3 linked regions of the Drosophila melanogaster genome follow. The protein of the gene in region 1 interacts with the protein of each later gene in a pairwise test. Each region holds a gene or a part of one and is shown on either strand. Other genes may lie near its edges.

Evidence for each region.
Region 2: the proteins of Trpml (region 1) and Vajk3 interact in a two-hybrid assay, tested with the Drosophila melanogaster proteins (one large-scale study listed by BioGRID).
Region 3: the proteins of Trpml (region 1) and snama interact in a two-hybrid assay, tested with the Drosophila melanogaster proteins (one large-scale study listed by BioGRID).

Annotation. Positions count from the first base shown.
Region 1 is NT_037436.4:19,713,291-19,720,564, reverse strand, and holds Trpml (transient receptor potential cation channel, mucolipin), read left to right. Parts: upstream 1-2,236; 5' UTR 2,237-2,496; coding exon 2,497-2,865; intron 2,866-3,566; coding exon 3,567-4,417; intron 4,418-4,557; coding exon 4,558-5,296; 3' UTR 5,297-6,147; downstream 6,148-7,274. Other genes in the region: CG42637 (uncharacterized protein), read left to right, coding at 1-121.
Region 2 is NT_033779.5:13,944,256-13,949,157, forward strand, and holds Vajk3 (Vajk3), read right to left. Parts: upstream 3,222-4,902; 5' UTR 3,143-3,221; intron 2,873-3,142; 5' UTR 2,846-2,872; coding exon 2,834-2,845; intron 1,796-2,833; coding exon 974-1,795; 3' UTR 501-973; downstream 1-500.
Region 3 is NT_033778.4:24,084,813-24,093,662, forward strand, and holds snama (something that sticks like glue), read left to right. Parts: upstream 1-1,791; 5' UTR 1,792-1,890; exon of another isoform or gene 1,891-2,018; intron 2,019-2,719; 5' UTR 2,720-2,738; coding exon 2,739-2,904; intron 2,905-2,963; coding exon 2,964-3,198; intron 3,199-3,252; coding exon 3,253-3,731; intron 3,732-3,791; coding exon 3,792-4,066; intron 4,067-4,129; coding exon 4,130-4,455; coding exon of another isoform or gene 4,456-4,459; exon of another isoform or gene 4,460-4,700; intron 4,701-4,743; coding exon 4,744-4,893; intron 4,894-4,953; coding exon 4,954-5,247; intron 5,248-5,309; coding exon 5,310-7,080; 3' UTR 7,081-7,202; downstream 7,203-8,850. Other genes in the region: CG16786 (uncharacterized protein), read left to right, coding at 1-7, 120-1,190; gek (genghis khan), read right to left, coding at 7,350-7,450, 7,530-7,726, 7,793-7,886, 7,947-8,132, 8,197-8,403, 8,465-8,850.

The sequences.
Region 1 (7,274 bases):
CGTGCGTAGCGGTGAGGCTAGGCGAGTAGGAATCCTGCCCAGCGGTGTGCACGGCGCACGAACCGGATTCACGGATATGGCGGCATCGGCAGCAGCCCGCGATCGTGAGAGTATAGTATAGAGATAAGGAGAAGGCAGTGTAGAAACTAAGGAAGAAGGAGCAGGATGACCAGGATGAGCTAAATAGCCGGATGAGAGAGATGGAAAAGTTACTCAGGAACCGAGTCGAGCAGGAAACGATCGTCTTTTGGCTTACTTCTTTGTTTTATGTATTGTAGTTTGTATGGATCGAACGAATTGTGTGTCTGTGTTGGAAGTCATCCACCTATAAACATATACCAGCCGGTTCTTAACTCTTTGATCGCTCTGGCATTGCGGGACTCTACATATGTGTCCTATGGGTTTCCAAACTATTTTTATTCGTTTTCGAGGAAAATCCTGCGATCCCGAAGTAGAAGCGAGCAGAAGCTGAAGCGAAAATCATACATAGCATATATTTTATAACTCTACATACATACATATTAGAGAAGCCGAAAAAACCGTCTAGTCACAAGGTCTTCAGACTAGTTATTGTTTTATATAAAATAAACACACACCCACACATCTAAATGTACGTTTGTAAATGTAACACATAAACACAACGACACACATATTTATACGACGATGGAGAATCAAAATCAAATATTTTATGTAAATGTAATCGAAATTTTCTGCTTTCCATACACGATGCGCAGCAGCAAACAAATTATGCTTAAACAGAAACTAGTTAATTTATGTATTTGAAAATCAAAACGAGCGTGAAAAATGTAATGTATCAATGTGTTTTGCTAGTACGTAGTTAAGTGCGTGTGATTGTACGTAATATTTAAGTCTCTAAAGCTAAAATAATAATTATAATTAATTGAACGCGAATTGTGAGCAGAGAAGAGCGAAAATGCGCCCGATGAGAGGTGTTTTAGCTGTATGTATGTATGTATGTATATTTTTAAATGAAAATTTGTTAAATTTGCCATATATAAATACAAACGAGAAACTATTAAAAGTGTGTTTGTCCAGATATGCTTAAATGGTGCAAAATGTTCAATAGATGGTAGATACGAGGGTGAATCCTGCGGGAAAGACTAGAAACTTGGAGAACACTTCTTCTAAAAGAAACATTTTTAAAATATTCCGAGCACTGGGAACAGTTGTGTTTTGTGTTTCGACAAACATTTCTGAAGTCGTGGTGAATACAAAAAAACATGTTAAGCATATAAGAGATCACTGTAAGTGTGATCTCACGATAAGATCTCTGTAAGTTCTTGCAACTAAAGCCATCGATTCATTGGAACTCCTTTTGAAATGTTTATGCACTGGGAACAGTGAAACGTATGGGAAGACTTCGTGGGTTTTATCAAGAGTTCTTCTTGGGCAGAAAGAAAACATTTGTTTTTTCCTGTGAGTATTATATTTGCTCCAAATGATTATGTATTATTTTACGCTTTTAGTTTATTGGAACTCCTTTTGAAATGTTTATGCACTGGGAACAGTGAAACGTATGGGAAGACTTCGTGGGTTTTATCAAGAGTTCTTCTTGGGCAGAAAGAAAACATTTGTTTTTTCCTGTGAGTATTATATTTGCTCCAAATGATTATGTATTATTTTACGCTTTTAGTTTATTTTTTAACTTCAATTTAATAAGATAACTAAGCATTAGTGACAGATGTTGACATATGTAAGTACGTACGTATGTTTAATGTAAAATACAATGTCAAAAATGAGGTAGCAGTTTTCAAGACCGCAAAATAAAGTTGATTTCTCATAAATTCAAAAATATAAAAAAAGGAAATAGTCATATTTCTTGAACATAAAAGAATAATAAATGGATGGACCTCAATATAATTTTGAATGTACGTCCATGTAGCGTCGATGAGTTAGCTGCGTTAGAGGAACGGCGGAATTTGGAATACGGGGAAGTTTTTAATTAATTATTTTTTCGATATTTAGAGCTGAGTTCTATAAACTGAACTCGTACATAGATAGTTAGATCTTTTCTTTCTTAACATTATTTAATTTTTTTTGGAATTCACCTCCAAATAACGGAAAAAAATAAATAAATAGGAAAGTTCTCCATGTTTCATGTTTCACCGTGCTGCACTTGAATTTTGACTACCGATGAAAAGGCGCGCGATTTAAATAATCGATGATTGCAAGCAACTATCGATGCTGAACTCTATTTGGAACAGTCGATTATATCGAATAAACATCTGTAATCGTTTAAACCTATTGAAAACAAAGCAATTTTCGTGGTCTTTTGGCCAGTATTTAATATAAATTCGCTGGCAAAAGTCGCGTATTAATTGCAAAAGAACACATATTTACCTCCCCTCCCCCGATTGCTTGTTGCGCCTGTGCGGATTCTTCTTTTGCATGTCGACTGGGCGGGCAAAAGAAAGTTAGCACGGAGAACAACAACGCAGGTGACTTGACCTCGCAACGAAGGAGGAGCACATCGAGATGCAGAGCTACGGCCCCGGAGCCCAGACAGCTCCGGCCGTCAAGCGCCGCACGGACAGCTACGAGGCTGCCCAGCAACAGCAGCAGTCGCCGGAGAGCGACGAGGAGTACGTGAACACCAGGATACTGCGGCGCCAAGTGCAGCTGCAGTCCACTCCGGTGGCCCCGGTGGTGCCCATGCCCATATCCGCCGGTAGTGGCACTGCCCCACCCTCCGTGGATGGCCGCGAGGAGCAGCCCGAATTCCCCGGATCCTCGGCTGCATCTTACCAGGAGGAGCGAATGCGCAGGAAGCTTCAGTTCTTCTTTATGAACCCCATTGAGAAATGGCAGGCCAAGCGGAAATTTCCGTACAAGTTCGTTGTGCAGGTGAGTTCACATCCGGGTTTCATTTGCAGTTCACATCTGGATGAATGCTAGTTAATTGAAGTCGTGTGATGCGCGGCGTTTGGGGGCGGAACTCGGGTGACACATCTGAACCACTTATTTAGGCATTTCTCTTAATTTACAGACGCCTTTAAACAGCCGTCTCCGATCTTCAATGTTTGTCTAGATTTCGAGCATGTAAAATGGGGTAGAGTCAACACAGTCTTGATTACTTTGCTTGCATTGTTAAGCCCCTCCACTCTTATCGATGCCTTATCTGATAGGTCCAACTATTGTTAGCACAATACGTAATAAACAAAGTGAAAATTCAAGAATTTTATGGCTAGAAACTGCGTGTGGACGCTTTTGTAGAACCCAAAAAGTTATTTAATATGCGATAAACATCGTGGTCAGGGGGATTTCTTTTGTGCGATTTTTAATGATTAATGCGAAAATGTTATGACTAGTCTTTAAGTCTACACTTAGTCTCTAAGGTCTACAACTAAATTAGATTTCCTGTAGATACCCAATAAATATAGTCTGACGCATGCTCTAACATAATTCGGCTTCTATTTATAGCCCAGCCTCTAGATCTCTGAACTGGCGACCAAGAAAAGGTCCGTCCCCTGAGGCCAAAAGGCAAATAGAAACTTTAAAAGTTATACTATAAACATTTCTTAGCAACTCAAGAATTTTTCTCTTAGATTGTAAAAATCTTTCTGGTGACGATGCAATTGTGCCTTTTTGCCCACTCGCGGTATAACCACATCAACTACACGGGTGATAACCGATTTGCCTTCTCACATCTATTCCTGCGCGGCTGGGATTCTTCCCGGGAGGTGGAGAGTTATCCGCCTGCTGTGGGTCCCTTTGCTCTATACCTCAAATCGGAGTTCTTCGACACTGTGCAGTATGCAGTCAATGGCTACGCGAATGTAAGCCGATCTATTGGACCATACGACTACCCGACGCCCAATAACACAATGCCGCCACTAAAGCTTTGCCTGCAGAACTATAGAGAGGGCACCATATTTGGCTTTAATGAGTCCTACATTTTCGATCCACATATCGACGAGGTGTGTGAGCGACTACCTCCGAACGTAACCACCATTGGGGTGGAGAATTACCTCAGGCAGCGCGATGTGGAGGTCAATTTTGCATCTCTTGTCTCCGCACAGTTGACGTTCAAGATAAAGACGGTTAATTTCAAGGCAAATGGTGGACCTCTTTCTGCTCCTGATTGTTTTCGGTTTGACATTTCCATAACGTTTAACAACCGAGACCATGACGGGCAAATGCTGCTCTCACTGGATGCGGAGGCGACGCGGCTGAAGTGCCACGGAGCAACGGACTTCATATCAGACGCCAATTTCGATTCCATGCTGCGAAGCGTACTTAATATATTCGTCCTACTAACATGCGCACTATCCTTTGCACTCTGTACAAGGGCTCTGTGGAGAGCATATCTGCTGAGATGTACAACTGTCAACTTTTTCCGTTCGCAATTCGGCAAGGAGCTGAGCTTTGACGGCCGACTGGAATTCGTTAACTTTTGGTGAGTCCTTTGTTTTGTGTTATAAAAACCTCGGCTATATTGGCAACAAGTATTACCCATAATGCTGAAGGTTAGGCCGACGTAAACCCAAAAATTATCAGAAAGGTTGCAGACTATAATAAACCGTTTTGCTTTCGCAGGTACATCATGATCATTTTCAATGACGTCCTTTTGATCATTGGATCAGCTCTAAAAGAGCAAATCGAGGGAAGGTACTTGGTGGTGGACCAATGGGATACCTGCTCGCTTTTTCTGGGAATTGGCAACCTGCTTGTTTGGTTCGGAGTGCTGCGCTACCTCGGCTTCTTCAAAACCTACAACGTTGTGATACTGACGCTGAAAAAGGCGGCACCAAAGATTCTGCGCTTCCTTATCGCCGCCTTGCTGATCTATGCTGGATTTGTGTTTTGCGGCTGGCTGATCTTGGGACCCTATCACATGAAGTTCCGATCGCTGGCTACAACGTCAGAGTGCTTGTTTGCGCTGATAAACGGTGATGATATGTTCGCCACCTTTGCCACGCTTTCCAGCAAGGCCACCTGGCTGTGGTGGTTCTGCCAGATCTACTTGTACTCGTTCATATCCTTGTACATTTATGTGGTCCTGTCGCTGTTCATTGCCGTCATAATGGATGCCTACGACACGATAAAGGCGTATTACAAGGATGGCTTTCCCACCACCGATCTCAAGGCATTTGTCGGAACGCGCACTGCAGAGGACATTAGTTCTGGTGTCTTCATGACCGACCTGGACGACTTCGACCAGACGAGCTTCCTTGACGTGGTGAAGAGCATTTGCTGCTGTGGACGGTGCGGTCGGCATCAGGAGCCCGCCCAGCCCAACAGTGGTTACACCAGCCTTTCTAGTATTATGAAGTAACTGGGTGCGCTATGTCGACCCGCAGGTCTTCATTTTGTTTTGTTTTGTCAGCTTTATGTGTGTAGTCAAACTTGTTGTTAGCTTTTTGTATTAGTTTGTTAATTTGCCAAAGCACTTGAACCGAGATAAGAGAAACCATAACGTACGTACCTATGAGAAATTCCAAAAGCAGCTGCTCTGATCACAAACAGCGGGCATGTTCCGATTTTATCTTTCGCAGCAATGGCTTTAATTCGGTTTGCAGAAATATAATTCTGACTGAAATTCATTTTTCTTCAATACAAAAATTACAAAATGTATAAGACCAAAAGGAAAAACTAAATGTAAGGCGAATTTGTGTCATTTCTGCGAAAGTAAAATCCGAAAAATGACTAAGAAAGGGCACCAAGCAACGCTGTACGCTGGGAAACCACAAAGTCGCAAATTTGTTTTTGTAACGCGAGATATTAAGTGTGTGATATAATGTGGAACCAGAATCGGAGAACAATGGAAATTATATTAGAGGGAGCTATTTTTGTTAGCGATATCGACATGGGCCTGGTCAAGATCTTCCATGAAAACGAATGCATCCGAATCGAGTTTTCATAGAAATCTGAAAGTCACAGCAAAAAATTGTATAAAACTGCACTGGTCGACAAAATGAGATTTTTGGCAGTCTAAGCAAATAGTTATTTTAGAAAGTGTTTAGTTCGGCATAACACAACATCGATTTTTGTCGACTTGTGTCAATTTCAGAAGCCATAGATAAGGAAACATTAGGTAACTATATTTTATGTGTACAATGAAAACTTTGTATTTATAACCAAAAACCACAAACACAATAAACTGTTTATAGAACGATTGAATTGAACAAATTGCACTTTGAACCAAAATTTATTACAACGATATGCAACAAAAATGTGTACAACAAAAATAATTAATTGTGAGCTTAACCAAAACGAGGAACAATGAAGTCTACTTTTATCTTCAGATGTAGGTGGCGCAATGTTTTAATGTTTTGACCAGGAAGACAATCGTTAAATTATTTTGTGGTAAGGATACATCCAAAACAGTCAACATAATAAGTGTCAAGAAACCAAGCGAAACATTTCTACAATCGGATAATTGCATTGCAAGAAAAGAAAACCCAATAAAAGGGAAAGGAATAAATGGTTTCACAGTAATTGGACATTTAATAATTTGGCCGATGTTAAATTTTTGCGGTTTTAAGCGTGAATTTCATTGAATGTTTTGCAAGAATTCGCCGAAACGAGATGAGCAAATTTTAATGAAATGGAAAACTGGTTCTCCAATTGACGTAAATTTCATCAGGCAGATGCTGTGCGTCTTCGTTGAAGCGGAAACCGTCCAAGCCAAAGACTTATTTTACTTAATCTTAATTGGAAATTCGAGCCGAGTGGCACCAGCCTGGCCAGTTGGCAGTCTAGCCTTATTCCTCTATGCAAATGTCAAGAGTGGCAAAAATAGACAATGACAATTCAGAAAGGTCCCTCGCCGATCCGCAAAGCACTTTGGCACACTTTAGAGTTGGAGCCACTAGAAATCAGAAAGAAACTGGAAAAAAAGCTGAATAAAACGCTCAAGTTGGTGGCAGTTCGTCACGCCTTTAGACGCCTCTCTGTCAGCTGGCAGTCGTCGAGCCACGACGTACCGCTCTGTGGGCCATAAATGGCTTTAATTTGGCTTTAAAATGATCAAGGTCGCTGCGGGTAAAAAACTGCTTTTAAATTGGAACGGCCAGACGACGCAGAGGAACTACTTAGCAGTCAAATTATAAAAAATAATCGAAGATGTATCTTTCTTCAAGTTTGTTTGAAGAAATACGAACTTGCAATACACTTTCCGGTTAATTTTAGAAAAGAAGCAAACACAGTTTCTTATTTTACTTGACATAGCTAAGATACATTCTTCTTATTGATTATTAATTGTTGAGCCATATCCATTGAATCTCCTCATGTAGAATATAATATCTATATTA
Region 2 (4,902 bases), on another chromosome or scaffold:
TCATGTCATCTCAGCTGACTGACTGGTGAGAGGATTTTCGGGTTTAAGGATCAGGAAGGCGTCAAGACATCTGTTTTTATTGTGACTGAGTATTATTGATTTATTACAACTTAAGCTGTACTTAATTACAGGTATGCATAATTCGCATCTCTTGGCTTGAAATAATTACTGGTATCCTACTTGTTACCTTGCAAGATTAAAGGGTCTTCGTATAACTTTTTATTAAAGTGATCGGAACATAAAGTTTTTGAACCATTCCGTCTATTTAATAAATATTATTAGAGAGCTGTAAATATTCCAGAAAATGATCCTCAAAAAGTCTAGTAAAAATACATTTTTTAAATATTATTTATGTTGAGTAGCCACCAAATCAAAAACGACAGCTGTTTAATAACAACATACTCTTTATTTACAAAATATATTTACAAGATATACAATTACAAAGAACCCTATGACAAACTATTTCCAGCAGCTAACCAGTGATAAAGACAGTGAAATTTATTTTATACATTTTATTTTATTTGTCCTTAATAGATTTTCACATAGATATTTCTGTTCTTATTATCCATTCAATTCATTGTGCGCCGAAACCTTTCACTGATAAACTTGGCCAGCTAAACTGTTCATAAATGGCGAAATTTACAAACAGTTAGCTGGTATTTATCCTAAACCTGGAGTTCTTGGCCCAGCACAATGGCTTCCATTGGATGGCTGGATTGGAAATAATTTACAAAAGGCATTGCTTGTTTCATCTTGGGGGTTCTTATCAGCTACAGAGAGTGTGGCAGGGCGGAAGTTTGACTTCCAGGGGGTATTTTAAGAGTTTGCTTCTGCGCTCGGTTTTGGAAAGGAAGGCCGACAGGTGGAGAGAGTGGGGAAGATAATTGAAAATGTTGCTAGATATCCTTCGGCTCATTTCCATTAAGTCCGCTCGCTCCAATAGATTCGCCTGCTTCCGGTCCATTCCGTCCGCTTACTTGTGGTAACCATGGTGGTCGGAGTAGACGGTGGCATCGTGGCCAATGGCGCTAACAGGGTAGCTGCTGACGGCAACGGTGGGTGCGTGCTTGACCACGGAGTGGGACACCACGGGCACCTTCACGTAGACGGGGTAGGGACGATCCACATGCACGGGCACCTGGACATTGACGGCCTTCTCCACGTAGACAGGGTAGGGCTTGGCCACTGGCACGGGGTAGGGCCTGGGCACCTCAACGGGCACTGGGCGATCGACGGGCACATGGACGGGCACCTTCTCGTGACGGATCACTTCGTAGGGCTGGGGCACTGGCACGGGCACCTTGACGTACTCCTTAACGGTCACGGGCACCTTGCGGATGACTTCGTAGGGCTGGGGCACGGGCACCTTAACTTCGACGGGCACGCGCTTCTCATGGACGACGGGATAGGGGCGGTCCACATGCACGGGCACTGGGATTCCCTTGGTGATGGTGATGGTCTTGTGCACATCGGCCTGCTTGCTGATCACATAGGGGGCGGGAGCGTGGTGGACAGCGACGGCGGGAGCAGTGTGTCCAACGGCGATCGCGGGACCACTGTGGCCCACGGCGACGGCAGCGGGTGCGGAGTATCCGGTCAGTCCGTAGCCATGTCCGTAGCTTCCGTGGCCGGAGATGGAACCATGTCCCAGGTAGCCGGTGTCCAGACCAGCATGACCGTAGCCGTAGCCCAGATCGAGCAGGCCGCGCTTGTCCAGCTTCTTCTCCAGCGGCACCTTCTCACCCTCGGTTTTGCTGGCGCAGGCGGAGGCCACCAGCAGAGCGGCTAAGCAGATCTGCAAAGAATTGAGTTGGTGCGATTGGTTATGAAACTATGCATTTTAGAGACTTTTAAATAATAATAATATATTAATTTTCTAGCAAAATTCTAGATATTTGTGATTTCTTAATAGTTTATTTCACAATAACTAAGTTAGTAAGTAGAACTTGATTCCTTGCAAATATAGTTTAAATCTATTTCAAAATGAAATGAAATAAAATTTAGTCATACTATCTTCGAATTCTCAACTGTGCAAACTCATCTATCATGAAATTCGTATAGTCTATTCTTTAAGTATTTGAAGCTTCTCTATGATAAAACAATTCAAGATATGCAACCTACATAAATTGCCTAACGAAAACGTTGACTTTTATCACCCATTGCCTAGTTTGATCGATTACCTAATCGCAATAGAAAGCGAAGGCGATAGGCGATATGTGGCCCGATTCGCATTGTGTCGTCCGTTGTCTCATCGCCCTCTTTCGCGATTCAAATGGTCAAGTGAAATTTGTGCGTGCCTGGCATAAATGATGCAGTGCAGTCATCGCCCACTGCCACGCCCAGTTTCCGCAATACGCCTCAACCGACTGGCGTCACGTTACGCATACGCAGTGGGCAACTCAGCGAATGCATTTGGAGCTGGCTTTAATTGAGCACATGAACCCAGTTGATTACGGCCTGGTAATAAACGTGGCTGGCACTCCAATTATGATCGTTCAGTTAATAAACGCTTATTAGCCATGTCGTTCAAGTTGAATTTGGTCGTTTGCGAGCATTTCACCTTTGATTAAGGAAATTTATCGGATTGAATTGTTTCAGGAAGTTGTTTGTTGTTGAAGATGGCCAGGTAAACAATGTGAGGCATTTGCAATGCAAAAGGCTATATTGTTCCAATTAGTTCATGTCAGCATTGTTCTGTATGCAATTCTTTGAATTATTACTTGATTTCTCACACTAAAATATGCTACCAACAGCGATAGTTCACATACTCGTACCCATTTACATATCAAACTAAATTCTATATGTCTAATTACTATATGTCTGTTGTACTTACGAATACTTTCATTGTGGAGTCTAATGGGACTTGCCAAGGCTGTAAGTAAACAAAGAAAACAATAAGATTATTTATACGAAATGCAGCATAGATATTTTTTTTTTTATAAGATCAGCACTTTAATTGGTATTAACAATCTGTTCTTTGGGAAAATGTTCCTTGGAAAATTGAAGTTATTTAGAGCACACGGCTCGCACAGTTATTAGTTTATAACTTTTAGATCACAGCTTAAACTTTATTTCCGTTTCACATAGACTACACGCATTTTAGAAACAAACAAAAATTAACTTGGCATTTGGCTTCACTTACAAGCAACTCAGTAACAGCGAAATAGACTGTGGAAGGATTGTAGAATCACTAGCGATTCCAAACCTTTGACTGGATGCTGTCTGTGGTCAGTGGCGCGCTTTTATACCCCCAAAGAGTTTTTGTGTCAAAACGAAACTGAAAACACCGCCAAACCAAGTCGCTCAGCGGTTTCCAAAAGCTTTTCCCACCACAAACCAGCCTAATTGCTCTCTTCAAAGCTCTGAGTTCGGCTTGGTTTGCGCTTGTATTGGTTATATTTGTGTGTATTAGTGCGGCACGGAAAGTTGCAAGCGGAAGCGCTCACCAATACACTGGCATGCCACCAATACTCACGCAATTGCGGCTTTTCTCTGTGTGTATTGGTGACTTTAGCCGCCAACTTGAAAGTGGCTTATAAAATATGGGTGCAAATGTGATCAAATCAATTTGGGAACATAAAAAGCAAATAAAATAAATTAACTAAATCTTGAATTGAAATTTATATTGGGAAAATCCCGCAGAACGTACTAGCAATCCTTTCTTGTTTTTTTTTTGTTTTATTTGGATAAAAAGTCTTCGGGCTTCTTAGCAAGTTGTTCCCAAAAATATAGATTTCAACGAAAGGTCATATGTCTATCAAAGTCGTTATGTTTTGTTTGTCAAGTTTCAGAAGTCAGCAGTTTTGGTCGAACCTGATTCCTAATATCAATAATTCTGAGTCTACCTAATGGAAATTCAACTAGATTTTGTTTTGATTCCATTAATTAAAAAAAAAAAAAAACTTGCTTATTAGTATCATATTTATACGTTCGGCTCGCATTTTAAACAAAGGGTCTATAAATCTGGAATTGTTCAAAGGGGTAATCTGGTTTTAATCTTGTATAATTTCAATATAAAATTTATTTCGAAACATTTTGTGGCCCAATAAACAAAAGTGTAACAAAGCAATTTCTTTCATTTGAGTTTAATAAATCTCAAATTCACTTAGCAGATCTAATATCGTAGAACTTGATTTAACGGTAACTTGATTTATAACTTAATTAATGTTTCTTATAATTTTGTATGCATTTGGCGAACCGAATGTTTTCCGGATTTTAGTATTTAATTTTTAACCGGATTCAGATCTTTTAAAAATGGCAATTAATTACATTAAACTTTGATTTTGTAATTGATATTGTAGTAAGCAACATTTATCAAAGTTCACTGTACTTGTAACCAGTTACTTGCTTTATATCAGTATACATTGTTGCAAGATAGTAATTTGAGTGTGATGTCTCAATTTCTATTGCTGTCATAATTAGGCTTTCTGGTTTTCTTGCCACCTTTGGGGTACTCGGGTTACCATTTTGCACTTCCTGCAACAACCAGGTAAAAACGGAAGCTGCCTCTCTGGAATTTCTCGGCATCTTTGATGTCATTGACAATGGTTTAGTGATCACCGGGCGGAAAAAATAGATACTATCTGCGATTGGGGGTGGTGAAAAGTGATGCAACAGATGCGGTGCATAACCGTGGGCTGCGAATCTCAAGTTTCGCACTCGAAATCGATTATCGGAACGCTGGGTGTGGGATTGTGGAGTGGAATACCAACGGGGATTGCAAATGGATCTGTGACTGGAACAGTGACTGGATCGGGTGCCATGCGTGAGATCTGCACTGTGGCGTAAAAGTGAAAGGCCTTTATGGGTCGCCGTTGCAGTAGCGGCATTAGATGCTTGTGCATTTGCACAAAATCAGATTATATATCAGCCAGGCTGAGTCCGTGATTTGGCAATTGCCAG
Region 3 (8,850 bases), on another chromosome or scaffold:
ATTCCAGGTAATGATGTTGTTGTGTCTTTTTTTCCATTTTGAAACTATGAGACTATAAGTTTCTTTGTCTGAAGTTCCCACGCCCATAAGCCCCATTAATGGCATTCATTTGTTTTCAGGCTGGCGTGGTTAAGAAAACGCGCTTCCTGACCGTCACCTCAACCATTGAGAAGGTGATCCAGGAGGAGCACACCAAGGAGTACTCCGAAGACGATGGCCCGCTGACGGAGAACATTTTGGAGGCCACCGCCAGCACCGATGATAAGACCTTAACAGGCAGCGTTACGACCTTGAAGCCCATCTATCTGGGCGAGGAGACCGAGACCCCCAGCCTGGAGACCATAACGGAGTCCTTTTCCATAACGCACACCAAGCTGAAGACCCAGATCCTCCCAGTTGTGTACGCAAAAAGGAACGAGACCATCCAAGTTACCCTAGTTCAGACGTACGATTACACCAGTCTCATCACTGTAACACAGACCATTTCCCCCTTGAGCGACGACTTCAATCCCTCAAAGAACTTCAAGGACTTCGAAGGAAGTTTGGACGAGGCTGGGTCGGAAATCAACCTGGACCTCGAGTTCGGAGATGAAGATAATACGGGCAAATTCGACGCAAAGATTAAACCAAAACTCAAAGTTGAGGCCAAGAGTAATGTAACTAGCCCGATAAACCCTCTGCTCCCGGAATCGATTAGCTTCCCGGAAACGCTGCAAAACAGCTTGATAACTTCCACGCGACCCGTGATCAAGCTCGAGACCATCTGGGAGTCCCATGTGGTGCCGCTTGTCAGAGGCACCGAGACCATCATGAGAACCCTCTCCAAGTCCGTGGGTGTGGTGGAGAAGACGGAATACGTCACTGATGTCGCCACGATTTCCATGCCAACGCCATCCTCGCAGTATCCCTTCTCGATCAACCCATTCAATCCCTTCAACCCACTCTTGCCCATTGCCCCGCAACAGTTCATCACATCCACCGAGGTCCAGCAGTCCATGGTAACGGAAACGAGCTCCAAGGTTCTAAAGCTGACCTTTGGCGCGAGGACCGCCTACACCACCATCTTCTCAACCTCTGTCGTTCCCACAGCTGTCACTAGATTAATAACCGCCACCATTCCCGGCCAGCCAGGCCAATCCTTCCCCAACTACTTTCCGCCTCCTTACAATCCATTCGCCTATGTTGGCTAGTTTTTAGGAGCATCTACGCAAGCGAGAGTGTCTAACCCCATTACTTCTTTGTAATTAGGAATCCTGTATTATATTTAAGAACACGTGCAAATATCGAAAAGGCGGTGATACAAAAAGCAGTAGATTTTATTATATTGTATGTGCACTTTGTCGCAAAAGTTGTTAATGTAAATACTCGAGTTAAGACTAAATTAGGATTGCATCGAATTTTTTGGATCTAAGATAAGCAAAATATGGTTGTAGTTCGGTTTAACTGATGTTAATAAATTTTTGAACCCTTTTATTCCCTAAATTAGTTTTTCATTCCGTATTTACTGCAGCTTAAGAGTTATTTGATTCTTCAAATGATCGATACTAATAGTTATACACTGTGTTCCATTCCACCGTTTCACGCGGAAGAGAACCGACAGAAATGCAGAATTGCTGCCTTTGCAAACAATATATAGAAATCGATTCCCAGCTATGCACATTTACCAAATGCTTTCCGTTACAACACTTATCAACATTATCTAATAAAGTTCAATACTTTCACTTTGTAATATAAATTACACTCCAACATCGATATCGATATCTGTGTCTCTATCGATACCCGCGTGTGCGTTCGCATTTCACATCTCTGGGGCTTTGGCGTCACGTTCGCATCTCTAGTAAATTGGAAAAAAATAAAATCGTCGGAGTTTTTATGTGCTTGCAGAGTAGTGTAAGTAATTGCTATTTTTGTGCCAGCTGCTTGCCGGTAGTAAACAACGCGCGTGAACTGTGATGCCTTGCAATCCTCAGCGCAATTCAAGTGCGGTTTAAGTCCGAACGACCCAAGAAACCCGAAGTGTACGTACATATGTATGTTTTCGCGTGTGTATTTTTATGCACATGCAATTCTATGCTGCTGCCATGCAAAGGTGCAAAAAATGCGAAATGCAAATATCGTTCACAGAATGCCCATTGATCTGACCGGATTTTAGGTGGCACATACGCATATGCATATAGCATGTTCCCGGAATTGTGCAACTTCGCATACATACATATGTAATGTCTTATGTTGGCATAATTATCCGCTGTTCAAGGGAAGTGCATGGTGCAAATCGGGAATCTATATTCGGCATACTTTGGTAAAGGGCCAATGAGATCGTATTTATTAGAAAATTGCCCATCCGCCGTAATATATAGCACAGCACCAATGATTAAGTTCGCACTTCCATCTTATCCCGAAGCAATCAAGAATGATTTCTGAACCTGCATGGCTTGCTACTGCTTAGTAGCTTATTTTAGTGATCTCTTAAGATTTGATGCAATATCATGTTTCCCACTAATCGACTATATGCATAGTTTCAGTTTTAGACTGTCCACTTAAACGTGTTAATCATGTTTTTAGGATTGCAGCGCATTGTCACACACATTATCTAAACAGCTTTATCTGTTTGTTTATTAAGATATTTATGAAGCATATTATGTATTCCCCCTGCTTTGACTCTGATAACGCAAGTGCCGTGGACACTATAAGATAATCGTATTTAATCTCTTCTTCGCAGATTTCTTTCATATGCAACTATGTCGGTACACTATAAATTTAAGAGTACACTCAACTTTGATACAATTACTTTTGATGGACTTCACATTTCTGTCGGGGACTTAAAAAGGGAGATTGTGCAGCAGAAGCGACTGGGCAAAATCATCGACTTTGATCTCCAAATAACAAATGCGCAGAGTAAAGAAGGTATGTCCACCGCAATTTAGAATTTTTCCCCTGCTACATGGCTTCCTTCCCTTTTCCAGAATACAAGGACGATGGGTTCCTTATTCCCAAAAACACAACGCTGATCATATCGCGCATCCCCATCGCCCATCCCACAAAAAAGGGCTGGGAGCCACCAGCAGCAGAAAATGCCTTTTCGGCGGCGCCTGCCAAGCAGGACAACTTCAACATGGACCTGTCCAAAATGCAAGGCACGGAGGAGGACAAAATCCAGGCCATGATGATGCAGAGCACAGTCGACTATGATCCTAAGACGTATGTGGTTTTAAATTGTTACAAAACCACCTATCTAATGTATTTTCTGTTTAGGTACCATCGTATTAAAGGACAATCGCAAGTGGGAGAAGTTCCCGCATCCTACCGATGCAACAAATGCAAGAAAAGCGGACACTGGATCAAAAACTGTCCCTTTGTGGGGGGAAAGGACCAGCAAGAGGTCAAACGGAATACTGGTATTCCGCGGTCTTTCCGCGACAAGCCAGATGCGGCTGAGAACGAATCAGCCGATTTTGTGCTGCCTGCTGTACAAAACCAAGAGATACCGGAGGATCTGATATGCGGCATATGCCGAGATATATTCGTCGATGCTGTCATGATACCCTGCTGCGGAAGTTCCTTTTGTGACGACTGTGTGCGAACCTCCTTATTGGAGTCAGAGGATAGTGAGTGCCCCGATTGCAAGGAGAAGAACTGTTCGCCTGGCTCCCTGATACCTAATCGGTTCTTGAGGAATTCGGTGAACGCCTTTAAAAATGAGACTGGGTATAACAAAAGCGCGGCTAAGCCAGGTAAGTTCATTATACTCGTTTGCATCGCTTAATGCAAATGAATCGAATTTCTCTTTTTAGCTGCAGTAAAAAATGAGGAAAAACCTCCTGTTGAAAAAGAAGTGGAGAAAAAGCCAGTCGCGGAGGTGGAACCCGAAGAGACTGAGGTGAAACCTGAAAAGCAAAAAGAATCCGAAACCAATGGCAGTAATCCGCCAAAATCGGAATCTCCAGAGCCTCCCGCAACCACAGAACCATCACAGAAGGAGAAAGATAAATATGATTCAGACTACGAGGATAACATTACCATAAAAATGCCCCAGCCTGCAGCTGATTCTACAACAGTGCCCAGCAAAGTGAGACATACATATTTGACACATCTGCAACATAGATACATAATTATTGCCTTAATGTTTCAGAGATCCCCCAGTTATTCCCACAGAAGTGAATCCTCTCATCGACGGGACAGGTCGGATTATGTTTCCGATCACGATCACAAGCACCAACGTCCATCAAAATCGGAGTCTGTTAACAAGGATCGCAGTCTCCTGCCCTTGCCCATTGGCACCCTGCCTAGCTACCAGGGCCACATGATGGCCGAATCAGAAGAAGCTCGTCGATCGAGTGCCTATAAGCCCCCTTATATGCAAATGCAGCGGGGCCCACCTCCTATGCACATGATGAGTCACCACATGCCAGCCTACAACAACGGGTTTAACAACATGGGACAGAGGCCTCCCCTCAGGTAGGTTTCTTTTCCACCCGTCCGGATCCCGCTACCATGTGGATCGAGTCAAGTGTCGAGGCCACTGGAACTCCGAGGTGTTGACGAGTCCATACGCAGCCGGTCCTGCCTGATCTCAATATTTTTAAGTTCCAACAGAGACTATACACACACACTAGTTAAGAGTAATTTAAGCTCTGGGCTCTGCGCCTTTATGCTTTGTTGAATATTGGTTATTCCTAATTAAAACAGTATTGCTTACAATCAACGTTAAGCTTTTTGAATTGTAATTAACTTCTAAAATTTCAGCTATGTGCCGTATCAAAACCAATCCGTACACCCAATGCGTGCGCCGTACGGATCTGCAGGCGGAGGTATGAATATGAATATGTCACAACCATTTCAGTCCCCAAATTTAGCCTCGATATACCAAGGGGTGGCAGCGAAGGTCGGTTCCGGGTGAGTATCTTTAGGGCGTTGTAGAAGCGTGGGATGACAAGTAATCCCAATGTTTTGCAGTCCCATTGACGATCCGTTGGAGGCCTTCAATCGCATCATGAAGGAGAAGGAGCGGAAGAAGGTGGACCGCTTTCGAAGCTCTGACCGCCACAGGTCAAGGTCCCCGGATAGACAAAGGCACCGCTTTAAGTCTCCCATGTACGAAAAGGACAACTCCAGGGATAATCTCAAGGACAAAAGACCGCGATCCCGGGAAAGGAAGCGAGAACATAGCTACGAACGGCATATACGCCACCCTCGTTCTAGTCGCCAGCCGAATGATGGCTCTAAGTCCCCAGGTGGCAGAATCAAAAGGTAGTTTTACCACCAGCCCTTTTCCATGTGCTTACATTCATGGTCTACTCTCTGCTTTTTAGATCTGGACATCGTCGCTCTGCATCTCCAAAGCCGGGCTACAAGAGTGATTACAGAGACAAGCCGTACAACAAGCCTAGTGCTCCCAAAACGGAGGCAGTTGAGCCTCCTCCCCCCGGATTCGAGCCGTTGCAGCTGACGGATGAAGACGGCTACAGGAACAAGCACCCGACCAGTTCGGAAGCATCACAAAGCAGCAAGGGTGATAGCAGCAAGAAGAGAGGGGAAAACAGGCACGAAGAGGCGCCACGAAAGAGGCACAGGTCTCGCAGCATTAGCAAGGAACCGAAGCCGAATGACAGCAACTACAGGAGCCTGACTCCACCAGCAAAGATCACCACACCGAAAATGACTGCTGCCCAGTTGAGGCAACGCGAAAGTTCACCGAAGACGCCGGAAAAGAGTCACGACGATTATCTGACCGCGAAGGCCAGAATTATGGCCTCCCAGCCCGTCATCAACGACACGGAAATGGAGACCAATGTGGGCAAGGAGAACAAGGCCAAGAGTCCGTTGTCAAAAGATCGCAAGAAGAAGAAGAAGGACAAGGACAAGGCTGAGCGCAAGAAAAACAAGAAGGACAAGCGCGCTAAGAAGGAGAAAGGGGATCGCCAGAAGAAGAGCTCCTCAGTTAATCGATCTGACTCGGATATTAACAACAGCTCACTAATGAACGAGTCAAATTATAAAGTATTGTCTCCCAGGGCTCAAAGTCCCAGCATTGAGATCAATGCGGCTCAACTTTCCCCTACTCACAACGCTACTGAAAACGTTAATCCGAAGAGTCATTCCATCCTTACTGTGGGTGCTGCTAGCGACGATAATCTTGGCCCAAGAAGCAAACTCAGCGAGGCTAATTCTGTCAATCTATCCAAATGGGAAATCGACGAGAATATCTTAGGTTTGGAGGATTCCTCCAAAAAAGCTGCCGGGGCCTCCGACGATCCGTCGGAAATAACTTCAGACGTCCTGCGAAAGGCTGAGAACGCAATATTTGCAAAGGCTATTAATGCCATCAGGCCTATGGAGTTTCAAGTTATTATCAATTCCAAGGACAACAGCAAGGACCGCTCCGTAGTTCGAAGTGACAAGGATCGCTCCTCCTCACCCAGGCGTAACAACAGCAGCAGGTCGGTAAAGGATAGGCTGGGCACCAAGATTTCCAATGATAGAAGCCGTTCGCGAGACAAGTCGAAGGGCAGGCGCCGGGCCGCAAGGAGCTCCGACGACGATGCGAACCGCGGCAGGTCGGATCGTCATGGCAGCCGGAAGAGGGACAACAGATCCCGCGACAGGGCGGCGCCTTCAGAGAAGAGGCAGGAGCGTTCGTACAAGCGAAGCTCGCCGGAGGACGACAAGCTGAGGCGCCAGAACAAGGAACAGTCCGAATCCAAGCACGGAAAGCATGATCAAAACAATAGCGACGACTCGGATCGGAGGGCGGCCAAAAACACCAAGTCCAGCGACAGCCGAGTGGTCTCCTCTGTAACAGCCGTGGTTGCTCCTCCCAAACCCTGTCGTCCAGACAACCCGTTCCGCAAGTTCGTCGACACCAGTTCGTCGAGCAGCTTAGTTGTAAAATATGATAACACGATACAGAAGGAGGGCGCGTCCTCGGACAACGGCATGGAGCACAGGAAGCAGAGGGATAAGAAGCTGAAGAAACATTCAAAATATTCGTCAACCGATTCGTTGAAGAGCGAGAAGCGCAAGGATCCGAAGAGCAAAAAGAAGAGCAAGATTTTGAAGAAGAAGAAAAAATCAAAGAAGTAGGTTACGGTAGGCTACGAGATAAGAATGATATAAATATTGAAGATTAATGTGTACAAATCAAAGATTTTTAATGTATGTATTTATCATGCAACTATAAGTATACAAATAAAACAGAACTACTCAAGGATTGCTTGCTTGTGATCGATCTAACTTTCGATTGCCCGCCGAGTTAGAAGACGGTGGATTGATATTCGAGAAATTAAATATGTTTATTACAAACAGTTATCTTAAAAAATCGATTAAATTACACGTGTAGAGATTGACTGAAGTTAATCATTATTGCTTAAGCCGTCCATGAAGGACGATGCCATTGGACTGGGCGTTCTGGAGATAATGTTGTCATTGCCATAGTCATCGGAGTTTGCATCCACTAAAAGCACAGAATAATAATATATATATGCATTAGGAAAACTCCGACTAGTCTGTGCTGTGCATTAAATGCTGCTTGCCTTGTTCTAGAAAATTGGATTTTCTACTCTGGGGTATGCAACTCAGCGAATGTATTATTGGACTGCAGGCTTGATCGGCTGTTTCGAGCGTGGTTGGTAAGTCTAGGAGTCGTTGATTTTGAATGCCATCCCCTGGCCCCATGTGAGAAATGTGGTTGAAATTAGTCGGTGCTGATATCATCTTTGATCTACGATCACTACAAATAAAAAGCGAATAATGAGGACTCGAATCGATTGCGCCAATAGGTTAACTGAAGCCCAACCTTTTGATGGTCTTGTTTATCTCCCTGATAGAGAATCTCCGCTTTATGCTCGGAAGTCCCTTTCGATTTCCGTCACGGTATTGCAAAAGGCCCTCTGCAAATAAAGCATGTGGTTTAATGGCCCTGATAAACAGACGTGAATGATTTAGCTTACTTGTGTGAATATTGGATAGGTAAACAATCAGCGGAGTGTCATTGACTGAGGACAGCACCACGTTTCCCAAATTGTTTAAGGGAAGTGATTGCTTCAATCCAATCGACTGCACCCATTCGGCAGTCTGCGTATTGAATATATCCAAATGTGTATCCGAAAACACCAGCAAGTGACCATCACAAAAGGCTGGAATGAGTCCACAAAAGAGTTATACATCATGAGTCATAACCGCATCTCGTTTTTTACTCACTTATATACGTAGGGAAGGCTGGATACATAATTTCCCTATCCCGAGACTTTCGCCCTTGCAGGTCTACGTATATGGCCAGAGTCTGGAACACCAGTAAGTACTCCCCGAAATTGCCGCCGCTGGGGCACAGAATTTCAATGACCCTGACCGCATCCACTCCGGAGTAGTTCAAAAATGCACATAACTGGTTCTCCGGATGAACCAAAGCTAATGAAAGATACGAAGACGTTATAAAGACTCTCAGAAAACGTCATCTATTACTACTCACACATTGCAGTTGCTTCTCCGCGCAGAAAGTATGCGGTAAATCCGCTTTGGTGAGCCACAACCAATCGCATGTCGGACAGAATCTGCAGGTGCTGCGCCATGTAGCCAATTGTGAATTCGCAAGTCTTCTGGTGTCTTGTGCGCGTTCTATTGATTTCGTAAACTACGATTTGTGTGTGGTTATTCGGCCGCTTTAGAGCGATGATAAATGAGTAAACGATATTGGGGAAGCGGCGGATTATTCCAGTGCAAGCAGATATGCAGTTCTTCGATTCGACCACCTTGATCCACTCGACATCACTAGCCTCTAATGCCCTTATAGGTAATAAACGCAAGTTGCGCTGCTTTCCGCAGAGAATGACGAGGATCTGCTCCTCTTCAATGTAC